2 linked regions of the Macaca fascicularis genome follow. The protein of the gene in region 1 purifies or fractionates together with the protein of each later gene. This does not show direct contact. Links are inferred from orthologs where the notes say so. Each region holds a gene or a part of one and is shown on either strand. Other genes may lie near its edges.

Region 1 (11,537 bases):
CCCAAGTAGCTGGGATTACAGGCACTTGTCACCGTGCCCAGCTAATTTTTGTATTTTCAGTAGAGGCGGGGTTTCACCATCTTTGTCAGGGTGGTCTCAAACTCCTGACCTCAGGTGATCCACCCACCTCGGCCTCCCAGAGTGCTGGGATTACAGGCGTGAGCCACCGTGCCTGACCAAGAGCTAGATGTTTTTTTCAAGGAAGCCTTGGGAAAACCAAAGGACATAAGGCCAAGCTGTTTAGTTTGAGTTTGTTTTCTCATCCACAGTATGAAGTTAATCATGTATAACTGCACTACAGGTTACACACATAAATATTACTGTATTAAATACCGGGTGGCTATATGATTGGAGAAAGTAAACTAGGGCCTTTTTGGATGCATCTAGTAAGAGGAATCCAGTAGAAAGGCACTGAGTCTTAGCTGAAGTCCCGTAGGTTTTTTTTTAATAGATACGAATAGTTTTCATAAAAGACTGAAAATGGAGGTTAATATACCTATTGTTTTCTAATTTTTCATAAAATACACTGGTTATTTTTATGCTCAAGCTGTTTCTCAGCTGGATTCCTAACCAAAAGTTGCCACATTACATAACACCACACTTTGTGACAAATAGTTTTACAAATAACACGCAACAACTATGGCTGTTATGCTTTTAATGGAGGCAGATACAAAATTCATCAATGCAAAAGAATGTTTCACATACTCATTAACATAGTGATTAATATAAATTATATTTTGACTTGTAAAATACAGTGTGTTTGGCCTCAAAAAAGAAACTACAGAGCTGCAACTCAAGATAACTGGAAAGGCTCCTTACATTGTTTTTGCCCACCACCTTTGTTATAATACTCCTAAAACGATATCTGGAGAGGGAATTAAAAAATAATACAAAGCTCTTTTCAGCTGTGGTTCAAAGAACTCTAGTGAAGCTGTATGGCAATGACATTGTGGGACCATGAAGTTTCCCCAGAAGTATTTCCAATAAGAGGCAGTTAAGAAGCTTAATAGTTTCAAAGTATGGAAAGCAGCAAAGGTATCTTAGAGAAAACATAAACCCACTTTCCTACAGACATTTTAAAGCATGGACGTAACTTTAAGGAGACTGAGAAAACATCAGTAGTTTTCACAAAGCTTCAATGATCACCCCAAGGCACAAGTGTTGAAAACGGCCTGTTCACTAAAACATCACTTTTGGAGGTACAGGTATGCTGTGCTTGCAGTGAAAGGATGACTTTATCACTAGTTAAAAGCACCAGGTGTCAAGCTCAGCTTCCATTTACACAGGATGCACCAATAATCCCTATGATAGTGAATGGTTCAAGTACTATACTACATTTCCAACATGTCTTTTGCCTATTTGCTTAGTCGGTACTTGGGTTCTTTTAAGCCCCATAGGTCTGTAGAATATTTTAAAAGGCTAGAACTACCTCAAAAATAGTCTTGAAATATTACTGAGTCCTTCTAAAAGAGCTCACTGGATATTTTAATAACATTTACAGAAAGACAAAATTTGCAGTAGCTGAGTTTCTTTTAAGAATAATGTAGAACTAACGTGGGCTAAAATGTCAAAAATTGCCAAGATTATTAATACATATTTTGGTAATCACTACTGACCAGGTTAATTTTTTGTGCAAAATACACTATATATTAATAGAACAGGAAAATCATTATTTCAGACCACTAACAGGAGAAAACCCACAGCAAAAGAAGCATCTGTAGGGCAATTAAACATTAGGGAAGTTTACTAGCTTTAGAATACATCAATACACTTCGATTACGGAAATAATTCATTTTTAAACAAGAGTGTTTTAATGTACTTTTAGTAATGACCCAATCTAAGGAGCCTTGGAGGTTTGTGAAAAAGACTATCCACAAAGATGCTGCTTTTCTAGTGTGGGGTGAATTAATACTTCTGTAAGAAGGAGGGAACTGAATCACCTCAGCATGAATAAACAGCATTTTTCTTTTAAACAGTAACTCATAATCTGATGACTCACTTTGCTTTACTAGTTCAAAATTAGGCAGGAGAAGAACTAAGCTAACTGGTCAGACCCAGAAACACAAAGATTTGGCAAGCCGCAGTCATTCAGCTCATGATGTGTGATAATCGGCAGAAAGGCTGCTCAACTCTTGTCCATTCCTTCACATCTGTAAAGAAACGCCCACAGATAAGTTACTTCACTGAAGAATAAAAGCAAATTTTCCCTGCCTTAAAGCTCTGACTCATTTCCCAATATAGGTATACCTTGTTATATTGTATTTTTTACAAATTGAGCGTTTGTGTCATTAACTGTGCCCATTAAAGATGGTAAACTTTTCATCGATAAATGTATGTCCTGAATGCCCACCAAACAGCCTTTCCGCATTTCTCTGCCCTCTCCTCAGGCCTCCCTGGTTCCCTGAGACAAACAAGATTGAAATTAGGCCAATTATTAACCCTACAATTGCATCTAAGTGTTCAACAAAAGGAAGAGTCCCCATCTCTCATTCTATTTAAATCAAAAGCCAGAGCGAGAAAGTCATGTTGAAGGCCAAGAGAGGCTGAAAGCTGGGCAGGCCTTTTGGACCAGCCAAGCTGTGAACACAAAATCAAAGTGTTTTTTTGTTGTTTTTTAGCTTCTCATTCTCTGGCTGAAAAGTTCTTGAAAAAAACGAAGTGCTACTCCAGTGAACAGATGAATGATTTAAAAAGAACAGCCTTATTTCTGATATGGAGAAAGTTTTAGTGGTCTCGATAGATCAAACTAGCCACAACATTCCCTTAGGCCAAAGCCTAACCCGAGTAAGGCCCTAATTCTCTTCAATTTTATGAAGGCTGAGAGAGGTGAGGAACCAGAAGTCATGTTTGAAGCTAGCAGTGGTTGGTTCATGAGGTTTAAGGAAAGAAGCCATCTCCATAGCAAAAATGCAGCGTGAAGTGGCATGTTAACCAGAATAGCCAAGATCATAAATGAAAGTAGCTACAATATTTTCAGTGTAGACAAAAACAACTTCCTATTGCAAGAAGTAGTCATCTAGAACTCGTAGCTAGAGAGATAAGTCAATGCCTGGCTTCAAAGGACAGACTGACTCTCTTGTTAGGGACTAACACAGTCAGTGACTTTTTTTTTTTTCTTTGGAGACAGGGTGTCACTCTGTCAACCAGGCAAGACTGCAGCAGAGCTATCATAACACATTGCAGTCTTGACCTCCCAGATGCAAGATTCTCTCACCTCAGCCTCCTGAGTAGCTGGGACAATAGGCACGCTCCACCATACCCAGGTAATTTGTTAATTTTTGTACAGAGGGTCTCTGTATGTTGCCCAGGCTGGTCTTGAACTCCTGGGATCAAGCAGTCTTCCTACCTCCGCCTCCCAAAGTGCTGGAATTGCAGGCCTGAGCCACTGCACTGGCGGCTAAGTTGAAGCCAGTGCTCAATTACTATTCCAAAAATCCTAGGGCCCTTAAGAATTACGCTAAATCTGGCCAGGCGCGGTGGCTCACGCCTGTAATCCCAGCACTTTGGGAGGCCGAGGCAGGTGGATCACGAGGTCAGGAGATTGAGACCATCCTGGCTAACATGCTGAAACCCCATCTCTACTAAAAAACAAAAAAATTAGTAGTCCCAGCTACTTGGGAGGCTGAGGCAGGAGAATGGTGTGAACCCAAGAGGCAGAGCTTGCAGTGAGCCAAGATGGAGCCACTGCACTCCAGCCTGGGTGACAGAGACTCTGTCTCAAAAATAATAATAATAATAATTATGCTAAATCTACTCTGCCTGTGCTCCAGAAATGGAACAAAGCTTGGATGACAGTACACCTGTTCACAGCATGGTTTACTGAATCTTTTAAGCCCTCTGTTGAGAACTACTGTTCAGAAAAAACATTCCTTTCAAAATACTACGCCCATTGACAGTGCACCTGGTCACCCAAAAGCTCTGATGGAGATGCAGAAGGAGATTAATGTTTTCATGTTTGCTAATAAAACACCCATTCTGCAGCCTATGGATCAAAGAGTAATTTCAACTTTCAAGAATTATTTAAGAAATACATTTTTTAAGGCCCTAGCTGTGTAGGTTCCTCTGATAGATCTGGGCAAAGTAAACTGAAAACCTGGAAAGGATTCACCATTCTGGATGCCACTAAGACCATTCATGATTCATGAGAGGAAGTCAAAACATCAACATTAACAGGAGTTTGGAAGAAACAGATTCCCACCCTCATGGATGGCTTGGAGGAATTCAAGACTTCAGTGGAGGAAGTAACTGCAGGTGTGGTGGAAACAACAAGAGAAGTAGAATTAGAAGTGGAGCCTGAATGTGTGACTGAAATGCTGCCATCTCATGATCAAACTTAAACGGATGAGCTGCTTATGGATGAGCAAAGAAAGTAATTTCTTGAGATAGAATCTACTCCTGGAGAAGATGCTGTGTATTGTTGAAGTGACAACAAAGGATTTAGAATATTACATAAACTTAGTTGATAAAGAGCAACATGATTTGACTCCAATTTTGAAAGTTCTACTGTGGACAAAATGCTATCACACAGCATCACATGTTACAGAGAAGTATTTCATAAAAGGAAAAGTCAACTGATGCAGGAAACTTCATTATCTTATTTAAAGAAATTGACACAGCCATCCCAACCTTCAAACAGCTACCATCCTAATCAGTCAGCAGCAATCAACATCAAGGCAAGACTCTCCAACAGCAAAAAGATTGTGTAAATGGCTCAGATGACCTTCAGCACTTTGTAGTAATAAAATACTTTTTAATTGAGGTATATACATTGTTTTCTTCTTAAGACATGATGTTATTACAGACGTAACAAACGTATATACAACTTTTATATGCAATGGGAAACGGAAGTATTTGTGTAGCTCACTTTATTGGGATATTTGCTTTATTGCAGTGGCCTGGAACCAAACCCACCTTCAAGGTAGGTCTATAAGCTATTAGAATCCACATGGGATTTGAAAATTCCCAACGGTTACATCTTGAAAGTTCCCTTTGAAGTATGCCTAGTTAGTTCATAAAGCAAATTCAATTAAAACACATGAACTTTTTATGAGCTCCCCCGTCCCACCCTCACTTGCCTAATATACATACTATTAAAAGGGATATGGTTCAATGAGCCAAGTATGACTTCATATGTAAGACAAAACATTTATTTTATAACTAGCTATAAGCTAATTTTCACACTGGTAGCATGTACCCACCTGTAGAGGAGTTCGATATAACCACTTCTCTTTATCAACTTTAAGTTGCATACAGGCAAAGAGATCACAAACTGCAGGGAGGCCATAATGGTCTGGGGGGAAGTTATGTTCTTCCTGTAGAGGTGAATTAAGTAATACTTCCTGCAATAAAAGAAAAGAGTAGGTTGCTTCATGAAAACTAGGAGGCATGAGACCAACTTATCTTTCAAATAGGGTCTACAGAGAATAATTTAAATGTTGGCCATTCTCTCTAACAACCAAAAACAAAGGTGACAATTGTTATTTCTACCCCAAATATTTTCCATAAATAGCAATAAAACAGGCTAGATTATTTTCTTTCCTGAAGGATGGGGCCTAGGCCTGGAAAACACAAAAAATTCATAAATCCTCCATTCCAAATTTAGTATTTAACATATTTAAGGATCTGGCCAGTTTGGAAGGTTTGGGATTATGAAATATAAAACTCCAGGCCAGGTGTGGTGGATGACGCCTGTAATCCCAGCAGTTTAAGAGGCCGAGACGGGCAGATCGCTTGAGCTCAGGAGTTCAGGAGACCAACCCCGGGCCAAAACCCCATCTCTACCAAAAATACAAAAAATTAGCCAGGCATGGTGGTGCATGCCTACAGTCCCAGCTACACAGGAGGCTGTAGTGCAGGCAGGGGGATGGCTGGAGCCTGAGAAGGGGAGGTTGCAATGAGCTGAGACTGCACCACTGCACTCCAGCCTGGGTGACAGAGACTCCACCATCTCAAAATAAATGAATAAATAAATAAAACTCAAACAGTGCTATTTTGATGTTTATGCTCACCTGGGCCTTCTTTCGAAGCAGCCACTTGTCTTCTTCAGAGGATAACTGGCTGAGGTTGCCCATCTTCTTTCCTGGCAGGACCCAGTCAGCTGTGTTAAAGGAACACCAGGAAGTGTTCATGGGGCTTTTAAACTTTTGTTTGCCATCTCTGTCTTCAGTACTAGGCACTTCCTTGGGACTTCTTTCTTTGTATGGGGTCCTGATAAGCCACTCCGACAAGGGGCTGTTCTTTATGACTTGGAAGGAATCAGCAATTCTAGAAGGAATCATTGCCTTTGGTGCTTTAGTTTGTTCTATTACTTCTTTTCTAGAAGGACAGAGCCACATATTCAGGGAATCTTTATGCTTCTCAGGCTCAGGTTTGGGTTCCACAGGCATCCCATTTTTATCCTTTCCTTCTTTCTTCAGAAGCCATTTATACAGAGCCTCCTTCTCACAATTCTCATCACACACACACTCTGCAAAGCTTGTGCAGGGCTCATTGGCTCTGCACACTTCTTCTACCTTACACGGGTCCTGATGGTTCTGGACAAGCCAATCCTCTGTAACCACGCTGGGGGTGGACAACTGTTTCTTGGTCTCCAAGTGGTCATTCAGGCACTTCAGATTGCCCAGGTTTTCAATCTCCACACCTTTGGGCTGGTTTCCCTGACAGTTGGTACAGGAGTCAGTCTTGACAAGCCAATCATTCACATTATAGGACTGGAACAAGAGCTTAAACTTCTCACTGGTTTCACGACTGTCATTCTCAGGCTTCCGTAGCTTATGGGATTCCTGGGGAGTCACTAGCCAATCTGATAGGTCCATCTCATCTTGATCAGGAAGCTCTTGATCTCCAACCTTTTCCATTTCAGTGGAGAAAGAACTAGTAGTGGAATGGCTGTTACACTTTTGATAACTTGGTTTTTCACTCTTGAGGAGCCAGTTTTCTAAGCCCTTTAGGTTTCCCCAGACATTACTGAAGAAATTGCAGGCTCTGGGAGAAGTCTACACAAAAAGTACACAGTATTAGTTTGCCAGAACAATTATGACTGCTTGGGAGATTCTGTCTGCACTTTTTTTTTTTTTTTTTGAAACGAACTCTTGCTCTGTCACCCAGGCTGGAGTGCAGTGGCGCAATCTCAGCTCACTGCAAGTTCTGCCTCCCAGGTTCACGCCATTCTCCTGAAGTAGCTGGGACTACAGGTGCCCAACACCACGCCCGGCTAGTTCATCAAATTCTTGAGCCCCTACTGCATGCCAGATGCTAAACTGGTTTTTGTTTTGTTTTGTTTTGTTATTTTTTTGAGACAGAATTTCACTCTGTCACCCAGGCTGGAGTGCAGTGGGGGCAATTTTGGCTCACTGCAGCCTCCACCTCCCAGGTTCAAGCAATTCTGCAACCAAAAACTTAACAATGACACATACTACTACTAATTAGTAACTAACCCCACCTACTGCTGCGTCTACTGTAGAAACAATAAAAGCAGCAACAGACCTGACTGTTCTCCAAGGTCTGCTTTTGGGTGAGCCAGTCGTGGGGGTCGGTGCTATGTATGTAAGGAGCCTGATGACCACTGGCAGGTTTGCTTCCAAGGAGCCATTCACTGAGAGGGACAGCTACAATACCGGATGCTGACTTCTGTTAATCATATAACAAGGAATGTCAAATGCAGTAGAAAGTTCACCAGAAAAGGAGAAGAGCCACTCTCTAATCTTGGCTTGCCACTGACCCTGGGCAAGTCTTGTGCCTTCCCAGAGCCTCAATTTTCACAATTATAAAACAAGAGACATAGCTGATCTCTAGGGCTCTTCTCAACTAAAACATCTAGAATCTTTATTCACATTGCCATTCCTTTAGAAATAAATCATCTCTACAAATTATAAACAGGATCCCTCACAGAGAACCAGTATCAGTAAGACAGCTAATGATAATTTCCTGTGAACTATTGATAATTACTTTGTCTGTTAACCCCAGCAAGATATCTAAATTTCTATTTGGCATTAGATCGCAAGGGAAGCATTCAATTTCATAAACTAACTCATTGCCACTGGTGCCTTTTTACAAATAGTAGTATTTTTTTAAAGCTATATAAAACGCAAAGGAAATATAAGCCAAGCAATGACTTAATTACCAAAAACAAAATGGTATTTTACCTGCTCTGGCATTGGGATATAGCCTCTCTTCTCCAGGAAGGGCCCAATATTTGATGAACTAGCATGAGCCATCAAGTGCTCAGGAATTTGCTATGAAATGAGATAATTTAATCATGTTATTTATGCTATGCTGCCAAAAAAGTGAAATTATAATTCCAAATTTCAAAAATGTTAAAGCATTAATATTTCATTAGAAATATTGTTGACACTAAATTCCATGACTTACAAAGTAGTTATCAAATTTGAGAATACTCTACCACATAACTATTATATAAAAAATCTTCACCAGAATTGGTTGTATTACCACTTTTAACAAGACCCAAATGTTTGGTTCTTTATTAAAAACTATTCAAGCCATAAATTTTACAAAAAATATATCAGAAGTATTTGGAGAGATACATGAGGCATTCCAAAAGAGTATCACTGAGTCTGTACTACACTCCAAGAACTACCAACCTAGGCAACTTAAGCAGAACATGACTTTTTTTTTTTTAGGCGGAGTCTCACTCTGTCGCCCAGGTTAGAATGCAGTGGCGTGATCTCAGCTCACTGCAACCTCCGCCTCCCGGGTTCAAGCGAATCTCCTGCCTCAGCCTTCCAAATAGCTGGGATTACAGGCACCCAGTTAATTTTTTAGTATTTTTAATAGAGACAGGTTTTCACCATGTTGGCCAGGCTGGTCTCGAACTTCTGACCTCAAGTGATCCGCCCTCCTCGGCCTCCTAAAGTGCTAGGATTACAGGCATGAGCCACCACGCCCAGCTGAGAACATGAAATTTTTGAAACTAATCAAATTCTCAAGAAAGTCACTACTCATAGTAATTTTTTTTAAGACCAGCTGTGATGCCACAGATATGAGAAGTGCCCAATGAAGCATATGCGATTACTCACAATGGTTTTGAGAGACCCAAATGTGGTGATGGTCTGGCGCAGAGCAGCTGTGTCAGCTTCAAAGAGCAGGACGGTTGAATCTTCAGGCTTAAGGGTCAAACTGCCCAGTCTGGGGAAGAAAAACAAAATTGGCTATTTTTAAGGAATATCTATTTCATCAACTTCACCCAAAACAAAAGTCAAATTGTGAGTAATTTTAAATGATTATACTTCTCTAAGATACTCAACCAAAGGTAGACGGCTTATTCATGTATCAGCAAGTATAATATTAAATACATAAAGCAGAATGATCTTATCCTAGCAACATACAAGTTAAATACAACACATGCAATGAGTTACAAAATTGACTTTCTTTTAGTATACCAAAGTTAAAGAGTCAAAAGTTAAAATAAGCAAAAAGGGTTGTTACCTCTCCAGGCACACAGAGACTTGATTGGCTAGATCTTTGTTTTGGGTACACTCCAGTTGATGAGTAAGACAATTGAATTGGCCCAATAACTAAAAGAAAAATGAAACCATCTAGCCACAATGATACCAAGAGCACCAGATATACTCAAGTTACCAAACAGAACTTGAGATTAAACTTTTATCTGATCTATATTAACACTGCATTACAAGGAAGATACTCTCTGGCAACCAGAAGCCATGCTCAAACCAGTTCTAGCCATGCAGTCACCTTACCCAGTAGAGCTGCTGAGCCTGCTGTTGAAGTGTCTCCTCTTTAAGCTGATAAATAAGGTCCACCTGTTCATACAGCCACACCTCACGGCTTCTAAGACATTCCAGGTGACGGCTTATGCAACTGTGAATCTGAGCTTTGACCTAGGAAACACATACATGTTAGCTTCCTAGTGTTATAATCCCAAAGAATGATGTTTCCTGCAGAATAGTGAGGTTCTTAAACTTTTTTGGGGCGGGGGAGGGCTTGGGGGGAATCACAAATCCTTTTTAATATCCAACGACATCTATGAAGTATCTCCCCAGAAAAAATGCGTATTTTCAAGATTTTGCCTATAATGTCACGGTTTAGTGTTCCAAAGTCCACCCAAGGACCCACTAAAGCCCTATGGACCCCAATTTAAGAATCCCAGCCATAAAGGCATACCTAAACTCTAAAATCCTCCTGCAATACCCATCCTTCTAAGAGGATTAGGTTTAATTTGGGTGTCCTAATCAAAAGAAAATACAAGAATGTACCAGGAAATACTGATCCCCCTCAGTTTTCCACATAATTTAAAAACCTATGGTTTTACAAGTTTATCAGCAGAATAAAGACAGAGTATTAACTTAATAGCTAGCCCCTTATCTCTTTTCTCACCCCACAGAATGAGCAGTCCATTTACAGCAGAACAATTTAGTAAAGAGATGTGCCACCACATGTCAACAGCTAGAAGACCATTAGGGTAGACAATTTAAGTAAAATTATAAACTAATGTTTCTGGAAGCATAAACAGTGATTCAAACAGGGCTAAATATAAAAATCCCAAGGGAAAAAGTCAAAACAGGCCATAAATTATCCATGACAATACACATAAGAAACTATATTTTAAAACACATTTTTTTTTCCTGTTTAATAAAGTTGTGTTTCAAAGTCATGTAATACTTGATCTAACACACACAACAACAAAATACTACTGGAACCAACAACAGATTTCACTCTGGCTTGCCCTAACAGATAGTCATTTACAGAACAATGCCATTAACCAGTTAAAAGATGACGGGGAGGATGCTCAAGTGCATCCTTCATGCAATCAAGAGGACGCAGCTGAGAGGATACTGCTCACTCATTTCATATTTTACTGGTTACAGTGCCTGAGGAATCACACAGAGGAGTAATCAAAAATGCATGCTGAATAGAATTTTCTAGAATGGCACAGGGTCTTCCAGACTCTTCTAGCACCTGCCTTATTTCCCCTTGGGATGAAAGGCACCAGTGTATCAGGCAACTGACTGGGACCAAGTAGACCACGCAAGGCATGGGGTGAAATTTTTTGTTGGCACAGAGAAACCAAGTCCTTGGCCATGCTCTAACCAGCCCTGTGCCAAGAGTCCAGACAAGAGAAGAGAAAAGCACATGTCACACCTCTCGCAAGTTATCTTTAATTTGCTGTTCAGCCCGGAGAACTCCACCAATAGCAAGCTCCAAGTCCCTCCGTGCATCACTACACCTCAACAGGGGTTCTCTATTACTGGAGCTGCCACTCTGGTCTTGGAAGGTATTCATTCTCCTCACTGCTCCTTTAAAAGAAAAAAATATATATAAATAGCACCATAATTACAACCAAAAACCACCTTTCAATCATCCCTCAAATGATCATTCCAGCCAACTCCCATTACTAACTACTTAGATTACTTTCCAACACTGGAGCTAGCACATAAGATACTCTTAATAAATATTGTCTCCTCCCTTCCCTCTACCACTGTTCCTGCCATAAAACTCTAAAATCTACTTTAGTAACACTTTACATGTGAATAGCTATTTCTGGAAAAATACACTAATTG
Region 2 (11,808 bases), on another chromosome or scaffold:
GACATCTTTGGGGCCGGGCGCGGTGGCTCAAGCCTGTAATCCCAGCACTTTGGGAGGCCGAGGCGGGTGGATCACGAGGTCAGGAGATCGAGACCATCCTGGCTAACCCGGTGAAACCCCGTCTCTACTAAAAATACAAAAAACTAGCCGGGCGTGGTGGCGGGCGCCTGTAGTCCCAGCTACTCGGAGGCTGAGGCAGGAGAATGGCGTGAACCTGGGAGGCGGAGCTTGCAGTGAGCCTAGATGGCGCCACTGCACTCCAGCCTGGGTGACACAGCGCGAGACTCCGTCTCAAAAAAAAAAAAAAAAAAGACATCTTTGGCATAAAGGGGCTATGTGACTGGGAGGAAGATCTATAGGACAGCTGTGAACCTTGTGTAGCTTTTTTTTTTTTTTTTTTTTTTTGAGACAGAGTCTCGCTCTGTCACCAGCCTGGAATACAGTGGAGAGCAATCTCGGCTCACTGTAACCTCCGCCTCCTGGGTTTAAGCAGTTCTCCTGCCTTAGCCCCCTGAGTAGCTGGAACTACAGGAGCACGCCACTACACTGGGCTAATTTTTGTATTTTTAGTAGAGGCAGGATTTGACCATGTTGGCCAGGCTGTTCTCCAAACTCCTAAGCTCAGGTGATCTGCCTGCCTCGGCCTCCCAAAGTGCTGGGATTACAGGTGTGACCCACCGTGCCTGGCCACTTCTTTTTTTGATAACAGGATCTCCCTCTGAATCCCAGACTGGAGTGCAGTGGAGAAATCATGGCTCACTGCAGCCTCAACCTCCCAGGCTCAAGTGATCCTCTCACCTCAGCCTTCCAAGTAACGGGGACTATAGGCACGTGCCACCACACCTGGTTAAATTAATTTATTTTTTTTTAGAGAATGGGGGGTTCCCTATGTTGCCTAGGCTGGTCTCAAACTCCTGGGCTCAAGTGAGCCTCCTGCCTCAGCCTCCCAAAGTGCTGGGGTTACAGGCTTGAGCCACCCCGCCCCACCCCAGCCCCAGGGGAAGAAGGGGAGGAGTCAGAGCTGACAAAGCAGTTTTGCAGCTTGGACCCAGCAGATGCTTTTTAAGGCCTGTTTTCAGCTTTTTCAGTTCCCACTTGGAGAATCTGGCCCAAAGTTTCACATCCCATTTCTATGATGAACCCTAAACCCCTTGTCCAGCATTGCTTGGGCATCACGTGTGCCTGGCCGCTCAGCTCCGCCTGTCAGTTCCTCTCAGTGTGCGCCTCACATTGGGATTACTGAAGCTTGGGCCATAATCTGTAAACTCTGGAGCAAAGACCTCAGTGAGCCTCCTGGTTGCCATGCAAGTTGCACAGCAATAGCCTCAATGTGCCCATATAAAGGGCCTAATAATTTCAGCTGCCTCCCAGAATTGAGGTTTGTTTTTTTTTTTTTTTTTTTGAGACAGTCTCACTCCATTGCCCTGTCTGGAGCACATTGGCGCGATATCAGCTCACTGCAACCTCCGTGAGGCAGATATGGTTTTTGGGTTTTTTTTGAGACCAGAGTTTCGCTGTTGTTGCCCAGGCTGGAGCGCAATGACGTTGATCTCAGCTCACCGCAACCTCCGCCTCCCAGGTTCCAGCGATTCTCCTGCCTCAACCTCCTGACTAGCTGGGATTACAGGCATGCACCACCACACCCGGCTAATTTTGTATTTTTAGTAGAGGCGGGGTTTCTCCATGTTGGTCAGGCTGGTCTCGAACTCCTGACATCAGCTGATCGGCCCACCTGGCCTCATAATCACTCGTTAAATAGTGCTGTTTCTGGCTGAAACCGAACAGATCTGTGTCCAGGTACCAACCTAGGTCTTAATTCAACTCCCTGGAGGCTATCTCTGCCATCTGGGAGGGACAGTTAACAGCCAGGCAAGCAGAGAACCCTCAAGTTCAACACTACCCAGATAGCTTCTTGTCTTAGAAGAGATAAGAAAATGGGAGATGGGGCCAACTCCTCTTTCACTGGCATCCCCAACCCAGCCAGAAGCTTTATGAGAACAGATCCCACCTCATCTTCCATACCACACACAAAACCACCAACTGCATCAAAAAGCTTTATTTCCATTTGGTCCAAGGCTTGTTAGGGTCGTTAAGAAAGCTGCCTAGTGGCTGGAGGGAGAGGCTTAGGCAGAAGCCCTATTATTTTGCAAGGGGCCCTTCAGAAGTCGCTGGGCTCAGAAAGCTCTTAGTCGTGCTTGAGAGTGAGCCTTTCGAAGAGATACTCGCCCAGCCCAGCCTCCGGGCCGGCCAGCCTGTTGAGGTTGGTCAGGTGGTCACCCATCTTTTTGATGAGCTTCACTTCCTCATCTAGGAAGTGAGTCTCCAGGAAGTCACAGAGCTGAGAGAGAAGAGGGAGAAATTAGAAACCCGATCCCTGCCGGGCGCGGTGGCTCAAGCCTGTAATCCCAGCACTTTGGGAGGCCGAGACGGGCGGATCACGAGGTCAGGAGATCGAGACCATCCTGGCTAACACGGTGAAACCCAGTCTCTACTTAAAAAAAAAAAAAATACAAAAAACTAGCTGGGCGAGGTGGCGGGTGCCTGTAGTCCCAGCTACTTGGGAGGCTGAGGCAGGAGAATGGCGTGAACCTGGGAGGCGGAGCTTGCAGTGAGTCGAGATCCGGCCACTGCACTCCAGCCTGGGCGACAGAGTGAGACTCCGTCTCAAAAAAAAAAAAAAGGAAACCCGATCCCTGGAAAAGAGGGAGAAAGAGCTGCCAGTTGCAGATTAAAATATGACAGGTGTTAAATGAGGCTCTGAAGGGAATTTGCCCAAAGAGAGCAAAGGCTTGAGGGGTATGGTTGGGTAGCCATGGATGCAGGGGGTACGTACATGGGGATCCGTGTGGGCAGAACCCAGGGCATGAAGATCCAAAAGGGCCTGATTCAGTTTTTTCTCCAGGGCCATGGCGGCTTTCATGGCATCCGGGGTTTTACCCCACTCATCTTCAGCTGGCTTCTATACAGAAGGGAGAAACGGCTTCAGAATACACACACTCGGCACATGGAACTAAACCTACATTTCCCAAGAGTTGGTGGGGGTCAGAGGCCCAGGCCACAAAGACATGTGACAGCTTGTATTTATCACTCTCCGCACCCCGTCCTAGCTCTTACAGCTACACGTCCTTACGTCTACGCAGCAGTGTGGACTGCCGCGTCCTGGGGGCACTGCACGACGTGCGCCTCTATTTCCAGCCGTAAAAGGGCTCACAAGACCGAACTCAATCTCCCCGAAGCCCACGCGACATCTAAGCCCTCAAATCAAGGCTCCTCGCGCGCACGGCCTGCTGGGAGATGTAGTCCGTTACCCTACCCACACACTAGTTACCTTGACGTCCTGAAAAAGAGCGCGGCCGCCACGCTGGTTTTGCATCTTCAGGAGACGCTCGTAGCCCTCGCGCTTCTCCTCGGCCAATTCGCGGAAGAAGTGGCTCACGCCTTCCAGAGCCACATCATCGCGGTCGAAATAGAAGCCCTAAGGAAAGAGATGGAGGGAACAACGCTTAGCGGGAGGCGAGGCCAAGGGGGACTCTGCCCTCTGTTTACTCGACCGGACAAAGAAGGCCGGCGCCTGCGCTGAGGGCCGAACGTGCGCAGCTGGGGGAAATTAGGGCCAGGGGCGTCCTGGGGACTCACCAGAGAGAGGTAGGTGTAGGAGGCCTGCAGGTACATATTGACCAGGCTGTTGACGGCTGCCTCCACGTCGGTGGAATAATTCTGACGAATCTGGGAGCTCATGGTTGGTCGGCAAGACGGAGCTAACCACAAAAACGGTGCTGGCAGGTCCCAGAAGCAGGAGATGGCCGAGAAGATGGTCCCGGAGGTTGCAAGTGGAGAGGAAATCGGAGGGCGGTCGGAGGCTGGAAGAAAGAGTCCCCGGATCTGTTCCGTCCAAACACTGTTGAAGCAAGAGACAGACCCGCGGGACCGCCGAACTGCCAGGGGACGTGGCTAGGGCGGCTTCTTTTATAGTGCGCTGGCCCTCGGAGGCGGGGCGCTCGGAGCGGGCTATCGGCCAATCTGCGGTGGCAGGAGGCGGGGCCGAAGTCCGTGCCTGACCAATCCGGAGCACACAGGAGTCTCAGCCCCCGCCCCAAAGCAGGGGGAAGTCACGCGCCTGCAGCGCGAGTGTGTTGTGAAATGGGGGCTTGCGGGGGTTGGGGCCCTGGGGCCGATTCGAGGAATGGAGGGTTTCGTGGGCGGGGGGGTGGGGGGTGGGGGCTGGGGTTCCTCTGGGAGACTATAGTTTTATGGGAGCATTAAGAGTCCTGTGAACTGATGACCCTGGGGTCCTGGGGGTGCCTCGGGAAAGTAAGTCAGATTCTGGGGTTTTGGAGGGCATGGATTTTTCTGGAATCTTGAGTGGGGGGAGGGGCAACTCAGAGGTGCAGGGAGGACCTGTAGTTGCCTGAGGTTTGTGCTGCGAGATAAGGAGTCTCCGGATCCTTGGGAAGCTTGGAAGGCAGTGAGGTGGTATTTCTGGACCCCTGGGGATCTCTGGGAGACAGAGGGGTGCGAGGACTGGAGTCCTGGGCTTTACAGAGGTGGGAGTTCACGATGCAAACTCTATATTTTGGAGCCCTCCCCCGGGGAGATCTTTAGGTCCTTGAGGTGCTCTGCAAGTTGGAAAGGGCAGTTGTTCTGGAGCCGTGGGGTTCCCCAGTGCGGGAAGCCCAGGAGGAGCATTGTATGAGGTAGGATGACTTCTGGAACCCTGGACAGCCCTCGGAAACCCTCCAAAGACTGGCTGGGACTTTGGGGATACCTTGGAGCTCTTTCAAGGGCCCAGTCGTTTTCTGGGAGTGGAAATGGGGAGGAATGAAATGTCTGTTTCGAGCTTTGCGGTGTCTCTGGGACTGCGTGTCCTGGGGGCTGTTTTGGAGGCAACTCACAGACTCCGAGAATTCTCCTTGGCCCTGAAAACAGTGTCTCCGCAGTTGCCGTCGTGTCTTGCCTGACGTGTGCTCTTTCAGGCCCACAAAGAGAAGCCCTGCGTTGTGGACACACAGTCTGGGGACCTATGGACGAGACGTCTGTCTACAACTAATGCGTATTTTTTTTTTTTTTTTTTGTGACAGAGTCTGGCTCTGTTGCCCAGGCTGGAGTCCAGTGGCCGGATCTCAGCTCACTGCAAGCCCCGCCTCCCAGGTTCACGCCATTCTCCTGCCTCAGCCTCCCGAGTAGCTGGGAGTACAGGCGCCCGCCACCTCGCCCGGCTAATTTTTTTTTGTATTTTAGTAGAGACGGGGTTTCACCGTGTTTGCCAGGATGGTCTCGATCTCCTGACCTCGTGATCCGCCCGTCTCGGCCTCCCAAAGTGCTGGGATTACAGGCTTGAGCCACCGCGCCCGGCCTCTCTAATGCGTATTTTTTAAGCGGACCTGGTCCATGTTGATTTCTGGGAGACGGAGTCGGCGCAAACCTTGACCCTGCTTAAGTGCCCCGATGGAGGTAGCCCGTGCGCTGGGCAGGGAGCTGAAGCCACTGGGGCGTGGGGTGTGAGGTCAGGCCCTGCCCTACAGAGGAGCCGCTCCGAGCAGCCCAGGCAGGGCAGCCCCTGACCGAGGGGATCTGCAGATGCCTCGCCAGGCCGGTATCTGGGGTCCTTGTTGCAGGCAGCGACTGCTGAGTCATGCTGAGCTCAGCGCGGGAAGGGGCCCCCCGCGGGGACGGATGTGGGTGGGGCCACTCACTGACCTCATCCCCTTGGCACTCCCCGACTTTTTTGGTGGGACCCTCAGAAGTAGACCTGGCTCAGACCCAAATCGGGCCCCTTCCCCCCAGGTCCCCCCTTGTTGGAAGCCGGCTGTGTGCTTTGTCTCCGTGTCGTTTTGGTTCCCATGTTTTTTTCTTTTTTTCCTGGGATCCTGCCTGTGGCCATATTGTCCCCTCACTCTGGGTGGTGGCTCAGTGTACACTCATTGATCCTATTTCCTCTCTCCCCTGACTTGGGGTCTTTGGGAAGAGTCCATGGAGGAGGGACAGCCGCCCAAAGCACCCGGTTGACTGTGGGACCTGAGTTACTCATTTACCAAATGTCATACCTCAGCCCAGAGACCTTTAGTCCCGAGAGGGGCCTTGGGGCCCATAGGTGGAGGTAGAGGAGGGGCTGAGAGAGACAGGATCTGAAGACCATAGAGAACGTGGAGTGGGGACACAGAGGCCCAGAGAAAAAGCGACTCAGACAAAACCCTGAGAGAGAGGGGGACAGAGAGAGAGGGGGACAGAGATCCAGAGAGGGGGACAGAGACGCAGAGAGAGGGGGGGACAGAGACCCAGAAAGAGGGAGACAGAGACCCTGAGAGAGAGGGGGACAGAAACCCAGAGAGAGGAGGACAGGGGTGGGAGGGGAACAGAGGCAGGGAGGTACAGAGACCCGGGGGTTGGGGGGACAGAGGCCCAGAGGGACCCCGGGGGGAGTAGAAATCCAGAGCAGGGGTACAGATCCAGAGAGAAGGGGGGGCAGACAGAGATCCAGAGAGAGGTGGGGCCAGAGACCCAGAGAGAGGGGAAACAGGGACTCAGAGAGAAGGGGACAGGGACTAGGTGGAAAAACAGAGACCCAGAGAGAGGGTGGGACAGGGATGAGGGGGGACAGAGACAGGGCGGGGGAGAAGAGACCCAAGAGAGGGGGACAGAGACCCAGAGAGGGAGGGGGACAGAGACTCAGGGTGGGGGGACAGAGACACAGAGAGAGATGGGGGGCCAGAGATTCAGAGGGGGGCTAGAGACCCAGAGAGAGGAGGCCAGAGGTCTGGGGATGGGGGGTGGAAAGAGCCCAGAGAAAGAGGGCCAAAGGTGGGGTGGGAACAGAGACTTGGAAAGCAAAGACCCAGAGAGAGAAGTGGGGACAGAGACCCAGAGATGGGAGGGGGTAAAGACCCAGAGGGGAATGACAGAGCCAGAGAGAGGGGGCGCCGGAGACTCTGACTGAGAACCCACATCCTCTAACCCCCTTGTCTTCGCTCGGCCCTTGTCTGAGGTCACTGGGCCTCTGAGTTCGGCACCTTCTTCCGGGAGTTCCTCTCCAGGGGGGCCCCACCCAGCCGTGGGGCCAGACCAGGTTCCTCCGCCTCTGCCCTGCCCTCCAGCCTCTCTGTCCTCAGCCCAGCTCAGGAGGCCTCTCCCATGGGCTCTCTTGCCCTGGTGTCCTCAGCCTGCCACCTTCCAGTCACCCCAGGCTCCAGAGCCCTTCCTGCTTCCCTGGTCCTACCATCCCTCCTCCTCCCACCCCCATTCTCCAGCTCCATAAAGGTATGGCCTCCTGAGGTCCCATGTGTGACACTCCAGGCTCTGGTCCCAGGCTCTGGAGGCTTGCTGTGCAGCCAGCTGTGCTGTTCTTCCCCCTACCCACACGCCTGCTCAGGCCTCACAGGCCACTGCCTCTGTCCTGCACAGATCGTCCTGGGCTGCGACAGATGTGCCACCAGTCACCTTCGTTTCCCTTCACGACTGTGGGCTCCTGCAGGGTAGGCCCGGGACCAACTCATCCCTAACCCGCAGACCCCAATGGGCACCCCAGAAAAAGATGTCAAGGGAGTGCAGAGAGCCCCACGTCCCTGAGTGGCCCGAGCAGGTATCTCTCGGTGAGCAGACGGCAGGCCTGGCATGGGGCGGCGGGCAGGGCCTGCTCTCCTGATGTGCCAGGGAGCGGGGCAGAGGCCCAGTGACTCAGATGCCGAAGTATGTCCCGAAGGAGGTTTATTACCCCCTCAAGACCACTCTTCCCCACCCCCCCAATAATTACAAAAGTAAGAAAAATGCCCATGTCCCCCAATCCCCACCCCTCCCAGAAAAATGCCATAATTTATGGAGGAGAAACACAGTTCAAGGCAGCTGGGGGCCTCAGCCCATCTTCTTCCAGATGGTGAGGGAGGCGGTGAGTACTCCAGCCACCAAGATGGTCACGGTCTGCCACGTGGGCGTCCCAAAGTAGGAGAGGAGGCCGTCCTGGAGACAGGGACATCAGTCGCTTCAGCGACTCGGCCAGGGGCAGCCCCTGGGCAGGCACAGGCAGGATCAGGGAGGCAGGAGGAGGTCAGAAGGCAGGATTGTGGGCAGGGGACTAACATGAATGGGCATTGAAGAGCTGGGCTCAGGCCAGGCATGGTGGCTCACACCTGTAATCCCAGCACTTTGAGAGGCTGAGGCAGGAGGATCGCTTGAGGCCAGGAGTTCGAGACCAACCTGGGCAACATAGCGACACCCCCTTCTCAGTGGGGAAAAAAAAAAGACAAGAGTTGGGGTCAGAGGATCATCAATGAACTTGAGCAATTCCGGAGGCAGTGGAGGCTCCAGGGAGGGCAGAAGGCACTAATCAAGTCAAGGTCACAGTGAGGTCAGAGGTCACCGGGAGGTCAGTGGGATAGATGAATCAGGGATTGATCAGACACATAAGGAAATGCATTATAGACCACATCTGACGATCCGAAGATGGGGAGAGGGCACCACTGTGACCGGCTCCAGAAGGCCCAGGGTCCCAGAGGAGTGGCGGGTGGGCAGGGACAGTGGGGCAGGGGCGGTGGTTGGGGTGAGGAGGGTTGAGGAGTCTCACCCAACCACCCTGGTCTTGGATCCAGCCCAACAGCCGCTCCCGGAGGAAGTCCAGCGTCCAGCCCATGATGGTTCTGATCAGTTCGGGCACCTTGGTACACAGGGCCTGTGGGGAGTGGAGTGAATGTTAGGGACCGAACCTTGTCCCCAATGCCTGGGGATAGTGGCCCCCAGCCTCCTTTCTCAATTCTTTGCCTCCCCTCAAAGATTTCTGCCACCCACAATTGAAGTCGGCTTCAAATATTGTAAACATGGCCAGGAGCACCAGCTCATGCCTGTAATCCCAGCACTTTGGGAGGCCAAGGCAGGTGGATCATTTGAGGTTGGGAGTTCAAGAACAGCCTGACCAACACGGAGTAACCCCATCTCTACTAAAAACACAAAATTAGCCGGGCATGATGGTGCATGCCTGTAATCCCAGCTACTTGGGAGGCTGAGGCAGGAGAATCGCTTGAACCCGGGAGGCGGAGGTTGCGGTGAGCCGAGGTCGCGCCATTGCACTCCAGCCTGGGCAACAAGAGCAAAACTCCATCTCAAAATAAACAAATAAATACAAAAATTAGTTGGGTGTGGTGGCAGGCACCTGTAATCCCAGCTCCTTGGGATGCTGAGGCAGGTGAATCGCTTGAACCCAGGGGGCAAAGGTTGCAGTGAGCCCAGATCACACCACTTCACTGCAGCCTGGGCAATAGAGCAAGAGTCTTGTCTTAAAAAATAAATTAATTAATTAAATAAAATTGTAAACAAGATCATGTTACTCTCAACTGCCCCATCCCTGAGCCTTCTGTGGCTCCCCAGTACCCTCAGGATGAAGACCTGAAAGCACAACGCAGCCCACAAGCCCTGTGTGCAGGCTCTAGCCTGACCTCACTCCACCTTTCCACTTCCTGTTTTGTGCCTCACTGAGCTGCTTCCATTTTTTTTTTTTTTTTTTTTTTTTTTTGAGACGGAGTCTCGGTCTGTCGCCCAAGCTGGAGTGCAGTGGCCGGATCTCAGCTCACTGCAAGCTCCGCCTCCCGGGTTCACGTCATTCTCCTGCCTCAGCCTCCCGAGTAGCTGGGACTACAGGCGCCCACCGCCTCGCCCGGCTAGTTTTTTGTATTTTTTAGTAGAGACGGGGTTTCACTGGGTTAGCCAGGATGATCTCGATCTCCTGACCTCGTGATCCGCCAGTCTCGGCCTCCCAAAGTGCTGGGATTACAGGCTTGAGCCACCGCGCCCGGCCCATTTTTTTTTTTTTTTTTAAGATGGAGTCTTGCTCTGTCACCCAGGATGCAGTGCAGTGGCACAATCTTGGCTCACTGAAAGCTCTGCCTTCCGGGTTCAAGCAATTCTCCTGCCTCAGCCTCCAAAGAGCTGGGATTACAGGTGCGTGCCAACATGCCTGGCTAATCTTTTTTTTTTTTTTGAGATGGAGTTTTGATCTTGTTGCCCAGGCTGGAGTGCGATAGCGCAGTCTCGGCTCATTGCAACCTCCACCTCCCGGATTTAAGTTATTCTCCTGTCTGAGCTTCCCAAGCAGCTGGTATTACAGACATCTGCCACCACACTGGGCTAATTGTTTTTTGTATTTTTAGTACAGACAGGTTTCACCATGTTGGTCAGGATGGTCTCAAACTCTTGACCTTAGATGATCCGTGTGCTTCAGCCTCCCGAAGTGCTGATGTGAACCATCGCGCCCGGCCCCATTTTTTTTTTTTTTAATTTAAAAAATTCCCATCAAATTCTTCCTGCCTCGGGACCTCTTCTTGTGCTCCTGTTTCCACCTAAACAGGCCTCGACCAAGCAAATTCTCACCCTTCAGCGCTCAGCGCAAATGTCACTTCCCCAGAGAGGAATTTTCTTTTTTTTCTTTTTTTTTTTTGAGACGGAGTCTCGCTCTGTCGCCCAGGCTGGAGTGCAGTGGCCGGATCTCAGCTCACTGCAAGCCCCGCCTCCCGGGTTCACACCATTCTCCTGCCTCAGCCTCCCGAGTAGCTGGGACTACAGGCGCCCGTCACCACGCCCACCTAATTTTTTGTATTTTTAGTAGAGATGGGGTTTCACCGTGTTAGCCAGGATGGTCTCGATCTCCTGACCTCGTGATCCGCCTGCCTTGGCCTCCCAAAGTGCTGGGATTACAGGCGTGAGCCACTGCACCCGGCCAGAGAAGACTGGCCCCTGCCCATGGATCCCTGACCTTCTCTCCCGACTCCCAAGACTTCTCCTTCAGCCTTTATCTGGCCACCTCTATTCTGTCATCCCCGCTCTGTAGGTGGCCCCACCATCACCTGCACTACTATTCCCCTCACCGCCAACGTTCAAGCCCCATCAGCTCAATCTTGAAAACACATCAAGAAATAATTCCTCTTGGCCGAGCGCGGTGGCTCACGCCTGTAATCCCAGCACGTTGGGAGGCTGAGGCAGGCAGATCACCTGAGGTCAGGAGTTCGAGAACAGCCTGCCAACATGGTGAAACCCCATCTCCACTAAAAATGCGAAAATTAGCCAGGTGTGGTAGCGGATGCCTATAATCCCAAGCAACTCTGGAGGCTGGGGCAGGAGAATCGCTTGAACCCAGGAGGTGGAGGTTGCAGTGAGCCGAGATCGCACCATTGTACTCTAGCCTGGGTGCAACAAAGCGAGACTCCATCTCAGAAAAAAAAAAAGAAACATCCCTCCCATTAGCTGGTGTGGTGGGGAGCGCCTGTAATCCCAGCGTCTCAGGAGGCTGAGGTAGGAGAATCGCTTGAACCCGGGAGGTCGAGACTGCAGTGAGCCAAAGTCACGCCACTGCACTTCAGCCTTGGTGACAGAGCAAGACTCTGTCTCAAAACAAACAAACAAACAAACAAAACTTCCAAAAAGAAATATCCCTCCCTGTTGGAGACCAGCCTGGACAACATAGCGAGACCCCATCTCTACAGAAAAAGGCTAATGCCACAGTTAGTGGGGCATGGTGGCATGCTCCTGTAGTCCCAGCTACTCTGGAGGCTGAGGTGGGAGAACTGCTTGAGCCTAGCAGTTTGAGGCTGCAGTGAGCTATGATCACTACTGCACTCCAGTCTGGGCAACAGAGCAAGACCCCACCTCTTTAAATCCCCCCCACCCACCTCTGCTGCTACCACCCGGGCCTGGGCTTGTCATCTTTCAGCAAGACTATGATAGGTGCCACCTCTCCAGCCTCCTTGCTTCAGCCTTTGTACCCCATGATCTCTTTTTGGCCAACAGCCAGGATCATTTCACCACCTCCCCCACCATATTTCCTTATGAGAA

Evidence for each region.
Region 2: the proteins of NCOA4 (region 1) and FTL purify together in Homo sapiens (co-immunoprecipitation; 3 studies listed by BioGRID and IntAct, counting the BioPlex papers as one, with this or other methods). This does not show direct contact. The link is inferred for Macaca fascicularis from reciprocal best matches to the Homo sapiens genes NCOA4 and FTL.

The regions. Positions count from the first base shown.
Region 1 is NC_088383.1:59,176,136-59,187,672, forward strand, and holds the end of NCOA4 (nuclear receptor coactivator 4), read right to left. Parts: intron 11,274-11,537; 5' UTR 11,260-11,273; coding exon 11,119-11,259; intron 9,858-11,118; coding exon 9,717-9,857; intron 9,534-9,716; coding exon 9,445-9,533; intron 9,145-9,444; coding exon 9,036-9,144; intron 8,235-9,035; coding exon 8,145-8,234; intron 7,630-8,144; coding exon 7,486-7,629; intron 6,996-7,485; coding exon 6,009-6,995; intron 5,340-6,008; coding exon 5,199-5,339; intron 2,151-5,198; coding exon 2,145-2,150; 3' UTR 641-2,144; downstream 1-640. UniProt on the Homo sapiens protein: Cargo receptor for the autophagic turnover of the iron-binding ferritin complex, playing a central role in iron homeostasis. Acts as an adapter for delivery of ferritin to lysosomes and autophagic degradation of ferritin, a process named ferritinophagy.
Region 2 is NC_088393.1:56,941,319-56,953,126, reverse strand, and holds FTL (ferritin light chain), read right to left. Parts: upstream 3,941-11,808; 5' UTR 3,739-3,940; coding exon 3,637-3,738; intron 3,476-3,636; coding exon 3,329-3,475; intron 2,960-3,328; coding exon 2,834-2,959; intron 2,339-2,833; coding exon 2,186-2,338; 3' UTR 2,042-2,185; downstream 1-2,041. Other genes in the region: apoptosis regulator BAX, read right to left, coding at 4,599-5,018, 8,555-8,659.